2 linked regions of the Canis lupus familiaris genome follow. The protein of the gene in region 1 interacts with the protein of each later gene in a biochemical or structural test. Links are inferred from orthologs where the notes say so. Each region holds a gene or a part of one and is shown on either strand. Other genes may lie near its edges. The genes, in order: COX4I2 and CYCS.

Region 1 (3,910 bases):
AGGGGAAGATGCCACCCTACACCAACTACCATGCTCAGCGCTCCTACCCCATGCCTGATGAGCCCTTCTGCACAGAGCTCAACGCTGAGCAGCGGGCCCTGAAGGAGAAGGAAAAGGGCAGCTGGACCCAGCTGAGCCATGCTGAGAAGGTGGCCTGTAGGTGTCAGGGTGGGGCTGGCTGGGGAGAGTGGGCTGGTGGTGACTTTGAAAAGAAGGGCCCCCACCTAGGGCACCTGGGCAGCTCAGTCAGTTAAGCCTCTGACTCTTGATTTCAGCTCAGGTCATGATCTCAGGGTCATGAGATCAAGCCCTGCATTTTCTTGAGATTCTCTTTCCCTCTCCCTCATCTTCCCCCTCTGCTCCTCCCCTACCTCTTTCTTAAATAAATAAGTAAATAAATAAAGCCTTAAAAAAAAAAAAAAGAAGAAGAAGAAGAAGAAGGGCCCCTGCCCAAGACAGCCAGAAATCCCAAAACATCTAAATGCATACCTGAGGGATGAAAGTCATCATTTGCTCATTTATTCTTTTATTCAGTCAACTATTTGTGCACAGCCAGATGCTAGGTGATGCTGGGGACACAGGAGTGAATCACCTTGATGGTTCTTGCCCTCAGGGTGCTCCCAGCCAATGGGGGAACTGACATAAACCCAGAAAACTGTAATACAGGCTTTGTGGCCAGGGTGAGGTGTGTCCAAGGGATTGTGAGGACACTAAAGAGAGAGAGATGGAATCCTGGTAGGTCTCCCAGAGGAGGGCATGTGCTGGCTGGCCTTGAATGGTGAGGAGGAGGGTGTTGCCTGGTAGTGGCAACAGCATGGGGAGGGATATGGAAGCAGGAAAGCATGGAGCATCGTGGACATCACTGAGTGGTGCAGGGAGATGGAGCAGAGAGGCAGTTAAGGTGGATGGGAGGGCAGGGACCTGACCCTGGGAAACAGGAAGGATGTGTCCTGCCCAACAGAAATGCCCGTAAATAACTCCAAGTTTTGGAGCCTGCTCCTGGCCAAGCTTTGCATACAGTAGATGCTCAGTAAGAATTTGCTGAATGGGCAGCATCTGCTGCAGGAGGAGGAGGGCCCAGGGTCCTTGGAATGGATATACCCAAGGCCCTTACTTCCCCACAACCTCATCTGCCTCCAGTGTATCGCCTCCAGTTCCATGAGACCTTCGCAGAGATGAACCGTCGCTCCAACGAGTGGAAGACAGTGATGGGCTGCGTTTTCTTCTTTTTTGGATTCACAGCTCTGCTGATTTGGTGGCAGCGGGTCTATGGTGAGTGGCAACACCTCACCTTGCTGCAGTCCTGGGCCATGCCCTTGTGGTCAGAGCTCTTATAAGCAAGCTCTTATAAGGCAACTATGCTGGCACTTATCTGAAGAGTTTTGAAAAGCCCCCCAAAGAGTGTAGGGTGAAGGGCAGAGCATGGCTGCCTGGGTTGGGACGTAGAAGCTTTACCTCTCTGGGCCTCAATTCCTTCATCTATAAAATGAAAATACTAGTGTCCGCACCACAGTGTTCTTGTAAGGAGTTAGTGAGAGAGAGAGCTGTGAGCCAGGGCCTGGCACATAATCATGAATGGTGCTCTTGCTGATTACTGTTATTAATCATTACTTTTTCTGTAATAAAAGTCCCCAACATATAAGAGCTTAAGCAAGACACAGGTTTTGTTCCTCTCACAGACCAGGGAGAGTATGGAGACTCTGCAGTGTCAGGCTCCTTTGGTGGTGCCATTCTTCACATGCAGCTTCCTTTCTTGCCATATAAGATGGCTGATCCAACTCCAGCCATTAAAGCCTACATTCCAGCCAAGAACAGGGAAAGGGAGGATGCACTCCTCTTTAAGATCCAAAAGTTGCATACATCCCTTCTGCTTACCTCTTCTTGGCTAGAAATGATCACATGACCATGTCTAGCGGCAAGGGAAGTTGGGAAATATAGTTTTTAGCTAGATGGTCACATCCCCTGCTAACTGCTTATGACTACAGAAGAGTGATTTCTCAGTGCGGTCCCTGGACCAACGCCATCATTTGGGAACATTTAGAAATGCAAATTCTCAGCCCCAGTCCAGATCTACCAGGTCAGACACTCTTAGGGTGGAGCCTAGCAATCTGTTTTTTTTTTTTTAAGATTTTTAAAAAGATTTATTTATTCATGAGAGACACAGGCAGAGAGAGAGGGAGAGAGAGGCAGAGACACAGGCAGAGGGAAAAGCAGGCTCCATGCAGGGAGCCTGACGTGGGACTCCATGCCAGGTCCCCAGGATCAGGCCCTGGGCTGAAGGCGGCGCTAAACCGCTGAGCCACCCGGGCTGCCGCAATCTGTGTTTTAATGAGCTCTCCAAGTCATTCTGATGCCCACTCAGCTTTAAGAAGCTCTGCTCTGGGAGAAGGGGAGAGGATGCTAGGAAACAGCTGGCAGGCTGTGCCCCAGCTCTTCACCTCTACTGGCCTCACCTTTCTTCTTCTGTAAGAGTGTCATGGGAATTCCTTTCTTGCGTGAGGATGAAATGAGGGAGCCTTTGGGAAAAATTCTAGTTTACCCCAGTGTTTGGTGCTGGCAGGTGCCATAAGGATCTTTTCCTTCTTTCCTATCCACCGAGATAGAAAGTACCAGTGAGGAGGTCCGACAGGCTGAGTCAGCCTCAGGGACCAATGGACCAGGGAGCAAGGTATGAGCAGTGTGGGGAGCTCCACTGCCATGCCTTCCCTGACTCGCACATCAAGGCACCTAAAATGCCTCTTGAGGGCTTTCAGCCTTTTAGTTAAGTACAGCCCTCCCTAGATTTTTAAGGAGGCCTCCCTTCCTCACCTCCTACTTCCAACCCTCTAAGGAAGCAAAAAAAACAAACTACCCATCCTGGGCCCTTCCCAGTCAGTGGGAGCAAACTTAGTAATTATAGTAGTTACCATATATTAGGTACTTAATATCTGTCCCACATGGTACCAGTTGCTTTACACATATTAACTCACTCAATCCCTACAGCCCTAGTAGATAGGAATTGTTTTTGATGGGGAAGGAAACAGGCTCAGAGAGATGAAGTGACTTGTTCAAGGTCACACAGCAAGGGAGGGTGGAGATAGGATTTGGATCCAGGCCAACTTTGAATCAGTGCTCCTATTCCATTGGACTTTAATAGTAAGGAAGTGGGCTCAGAAAGGGGAAGGACCTTAGCCCAATTTCCACAGTGAGTCTAAGGCAGAGCCAGGACCATAATACAGAGATCTCTGGAGTGAAGCTTTAGCAGGAAGTCTGGTGTGGGAACAGATAGGGTGGATAGGGTGGAGTATCTTGGTGCAGGATTTCCTAACCCTGTGCCTGGAGACCCTGGCTCAGGGGGACAGGGTGGAAGACTTTCAGGGTCCTGAGCCATCCTTGTCCCCACCCCTTGCCTTCCCTGCAGTGTTCCCAAAGAAGCCCATCACCCTGACGGATGAATGGAAGGCCCAGCAGCTCCAGCGCATCCTAGATATGAAGGGTAACCCTGTGCAAGGCCTGGCCTCTCGGTGGGACTATGAGAAGAAGGAGTGGAAGAAGTGACTGGGCATCCAGGTTGCCCTCCCTGCAGCTCCACCCTGGCCTAGAGCGTGTGGGGGGAATTTTTCTCTTCTTAACCCCAATAAAGCTGGCCTGAGCTCTTCTGTCTTCAGTTTCCACCTCACTCTTCACCTGCCACAAACCCTACATGATACCTAAAATTGAGCAGTGTGGTGAAGGAAGGGCAAAAATAAGCCATTTTCCAGGGGCCCAGAGCCCAGCCAGTCAGGGAGGGCTTCCTGGAGGAGTAGGGGCTAGGGCTTAGTCTTAACGGATATGTGGCATTAGGAAAGGGAGGACACTCCTTTATATAGTCAATTATTTTTCCATAATTAAGATTAAAGATTTTATTTATTTATTTGACAGAGAGAGAGCA
Region 2 (3,910 bases), on another chromosome or scaffold:
TGGTAGAAGGAAAAACCTAAGGCATTGCTTTGTCATAGTTACACCCCTTACCAGCCACTATCAAGCCTACGGGATAAGATGGAGGTAGACGGAACAGATGCAACATAGAACATAAAACCGGGGGAAAAAAAAAGATAAAATAAATAAATAGAATAGAATAGAAAACCGAACTGCAGAATTATCATTGTTCTCAACTAATTCCCTCAGGTATTGTGAGTAAACTGCAAATACTGTGTGTCTCTTCCAAACTTGAATACATAGATATTATAAAACATAATAGGTGTGATTTCTGTTTCACAGGATGCTTTTGTGGCCCTAGTGTGTGCAATTAGAGGAAACTCGAAATCAGGACGTAGAAAACAATAAAAAAATAATCCGGTCGTATAGAGAGATGGATGGTCTGGAGCAGAAATCATGGTACCCGTGGTCTGGAAGGGGTGTAAGGTAATCTAGTTAAGTTTACTGCTTAACTTGGGAGTAGGAAGAAGATGGCTAGAATGTAAGCTCCACCAGAGAAAGAGTCCTCCACGATCTACTCCAGGTAAATAATATGCATTCAATAAACACTTGTGAATGAATAACGGCAGTGCTAGAACACGAGAAAGGAGGGGGAAAACCCATTCACAACTCGGGGGCTGAATTAGCGGGGGCAAGGGAGTCCAGAAAAAATATTTGCCAGGGACAGAACCGAGCATGTCTGGAAGGAGAGCTAGTTCTGGAGGAAAAGGATGATCCCCGGAAGCTGTGGTTATCAAACCTGCCTTTGTCATATGACCCCAACCGCATTACATCTTACTTGAACAGGTCATTCGGCCTAGGTTAGAGGAGATGCAAATCCTCTCTAGGTTTCCAACAATGCTCTAGCCCCTTGACAAGGCTCCTCGCTAGCGCCTGCACATCCTCCTTGTTCCGCACAGAAACGCAAGGGAGACGGGTGTCGGCGGAAAAGCCGGCAGCTGTGGGGCCCGAGCTACAATCCAGCTTCCGCCGCAGCTACGGCAGCTTCCCTGCGGCAGACCCGGGGTGTCCGTCAAGGGGGGGATGTCGAAGTAGCAGAGTGAAGGCGAAGCGGTACGTCGGGAGCTCAGGTCCAACTCTCACAACTCCGGGTTCCAGGCGATGCTTTGGGGTGCGGCTGGCGGCAGCCGCGAAAGCAGGACAGAGACTGCGGAAAGGCCGCCAGCTGCACGGACAGCAGCCAGGAGGCCTCTACGTGCGTCAGAGTTGGGGCGTTCCCCTCCCGGCAGGCAAAACGCCCCCCCCGCCCCCGCCCAAAGCGCATTACGTCAACAAGCCCAAGAGCAGTTACCTTAGCACAACAACGCCCTCCATCCACCACGCGACTCCGCTCCACCCTCCCCTTGGGGATACGCATGCGCAGAAAGGCAGGACGGCGACGTCAGCCCTTCCCGGCACCGCCTCGTTGTCGTACATCCAGGGGCCTGTCGTAACTGCCGGCGGGAGAGCAGAAGGGCACCCGCGCGGCACACCCTACCCTGCTGGCCGGCCTCCGCGCCGGTCGTTAACGCAGGCCCTGGAGACTGAAGCCAATGAGGCGCGGTGACGTCACTGCGTAGCAGGCCGCGCAGCCGCAGGGCGGGCGGCGAAGGGACGGATCGAGTTCGGTTGCACCGACACCGGTACTTAGGTGCGGAGCGGCGTGTCCTTGGACTTAGAGAGCGGGACGTCCGGCTTGCGAGCGGGCTTCTTCGTTTCGCGCGCGCGACAGAAAGGCGGTGAGCGCCGGGCGGGAAGCCGCAGCACGGGGACGCGCGGCTGTGTCGAGGGGTGCGCGCCCTGGCCGAGGCCGGCGCCCGGGTTCGGCGAGTGGGGCGCACCTGGGGCGGGAAGGCCAGGGGTGACCCCCCCCGCCCCGCCTGGGGCCGGCCAGAAGCCGGTGGGCTACGGCTGGAGACGGGGCGGCACGCCGGCTGGGACGGGGAGTGGGCTCGATCAGGGCCCTTAAAGCCCGGAAGCCGCCTGGATGCTGATCCAACCCAGACCGAGGCCCGGGGGTCTCGTAGCCGGGGCCCAGGGGCTGTGGAAGTGACAGACTTCCCGGGATGAGGGCGGGAATGTGGGGGGCTGCGCAGCGCCCCACGGCCTCCTGCAGAGGCGGCCGGAACTACCGCTCCTGCAAAAACGAGCCCTTTTTCTTCCGAGTCACTTGTCGCTTTTCCCCCCTTAACCTGCCTAGGCATCTCGGGAAGGCAGGTGCCCTCCGTCTCCTTGAAAGCCTGATTGGGTGACCTCGTGGGCGTCTCCAGAGAGCCCAGAGCTGGAGGACGGACGGATGGGAGACCTCCCACCCGCACCGCAGGGCCGTTTATACCGGCCCGAGCAGGCTGTTAGCAACCACAGGACTTGGGTTTTGTAAATGTATTTTCACTGATCAGAGGTGGCTTCACATTGCAGTCTGATTAAATAGGCTTTCTTAAAAGCTGAAAGTTTTGGTAGTTTGGTAGTTTTGGTTTAATGTAATCATGGTTTTCGACTTGACTCAGATTTGTGACTTTCTGTGACCTTGACCTCAAACTTTTGAAACCGTTTTTGAACTAGGTTCCCACTTTGCTTACTTGGGCTTTAGTTCTATCACTCGAATACACATAGATGTGTATTTAGGGAAGTCGTTCCAGCTAGTGGTTTTTGGTACCTAGAGAGCCAGTCGCCAGCACACTAAGTAAAACCAGATTCGCCCTGGTGATTAATACTCTAGATTTGCAATGGGTTAGTAATTCAGTCCCTGGAGCGACCACTGGTTGGTTTTCACTGGATTTTTACTCGGAGGAAAAAAGTAATGGAGTCTTTCATTTTTAGATTGAAAAATGGGTGATGTTGAGAAGGGCAAGAAGATTTTTGTTCAGAAGTGTGCGCAGTGCCATACTGTGGAAAAGGGAGGCAAGCACAAGACTGGGCCAAACCTCCACGGTTTATTTGGGCGGAAGACCGGTCAGGCCCCTGGATTTTCTTACACGGATGCCAACAAGAACAAAGGTAAGGGTCTGGGAGGTGGGGGATCAGTTATTAAATAACAGAAGCACAATTTCATGAATATAACCAATGGTAAGCCCTTTATCAGGAGTGTAAGATACTTAACAATACGTCCCTCCTTGTTTAGGCATCACCTGGGGAGAGGAGACCCTGATGGAGTATTTGGAGAATCCCAAGAAGTACATCCCTGGAACAAAAATGATCTTCGCTGGCATTAAGAAGACAGGGGAAAGAGCAGACTTAATAGCTTATCTCAAAAAAGCTACTAAGGAGTAATAGTTGGCTATCGCCTTATTTATTACAAAACAAAAATGTCTCATGACTTTTTTTTTATGTGTACCATATTTAAATTGATCTCATTGACCAGAATTCAGATCATGAGTGGCTGATAGAAGGTTTCTCTTGGACAGTCCTGATTTAAATAAGATTGGCTTGTGGTTAAATGAATATGATCAGTTTTTTGAACTTTGATAGTAATTCTGGTTCAGCAAGTGCTCTCACTGTTTTCCCCTTCTAAAAAATATGATTGGAATTGATTAGAGATGTGTAGCTTTTCACAGAGATGGTAAATGCCACCTCTAAATTTATAGATTGGTTTTATATTTAGATTTATATAACGGGTTATATTAATATATTTAAATACTGAGGAAATCCCTTCACTCTCAGAACAGCAAGACTCAGCTGTGTTTCAAGTTGTGTTCCCTAGCCTGTTAAAGGCAATGGCTGAAGATAAGCTGGCAGTGTCCACTTTATCTTTTTGGTCTTAACTATGCCAATTTAATTAAAATTCTTTGCATCTAAAATGTTGCCTTTTGCTAATTGAAAGGCATTTTAGTGTGGTTTGTGCGTAATATTAAAATTTTAACACTTGGGTTTTATACACCTGTAAGGTCAGACGCTTTTAAAATTTAGTGTGAGG

What was found.
Region 2: the proteins of COX4I2 (region 1) and CYCS form a complex in vitro, tested with the Homo sapiens proteins (4 studies listed by BioGRID). The link is inferred for Canis lupus familiaris from reciprocal best matches to the Homo sapiens genes COX4I2 and CYCS.

Annotation. Positions count from the first base shown.
Region 1 is NC_049245.1:21,625,020-21,628,929, forward strand, and holds the end of COX4I2 (cytochrome c oxidase subunit 4 isoform 2, mitochondrial), read left to right. Parts: coding exon 1-156; intron 157-1,140; coding exon 1,141-1,272; intron 1,273-3,400; coding exon 3,401-3,537; 3' UTR 3,538-3,642; downstream 3,643-3,910. UniProt on the Homo sapiens protein: Component of the cytochrome c oxidase, the last enzyme in the mitochondrial electron transport chain which drives oxidative phosphorylation.
Region 2 is NC_049235.1:38,664,224-38,668,133, reverse strand, and holds the start of CYCS (cytochrome c), read left to right. Parts: upstream 1-1,610; 5' UTR 1,611-1,736; intron 1,737-2,817; 5' UTR 2,818-2,825; coding exon 2,826-2,994; intron 2,995-3,118; coding exon 3,119-3,267; 3' UTR 3,268-3,910. UniProt on the Homo sapiens protein: Electron carrier protein. The oxidized form of the cytochrome c heme group can accept an electron from the heme group of the cytochrome c1 subunit of cytochrome reductase.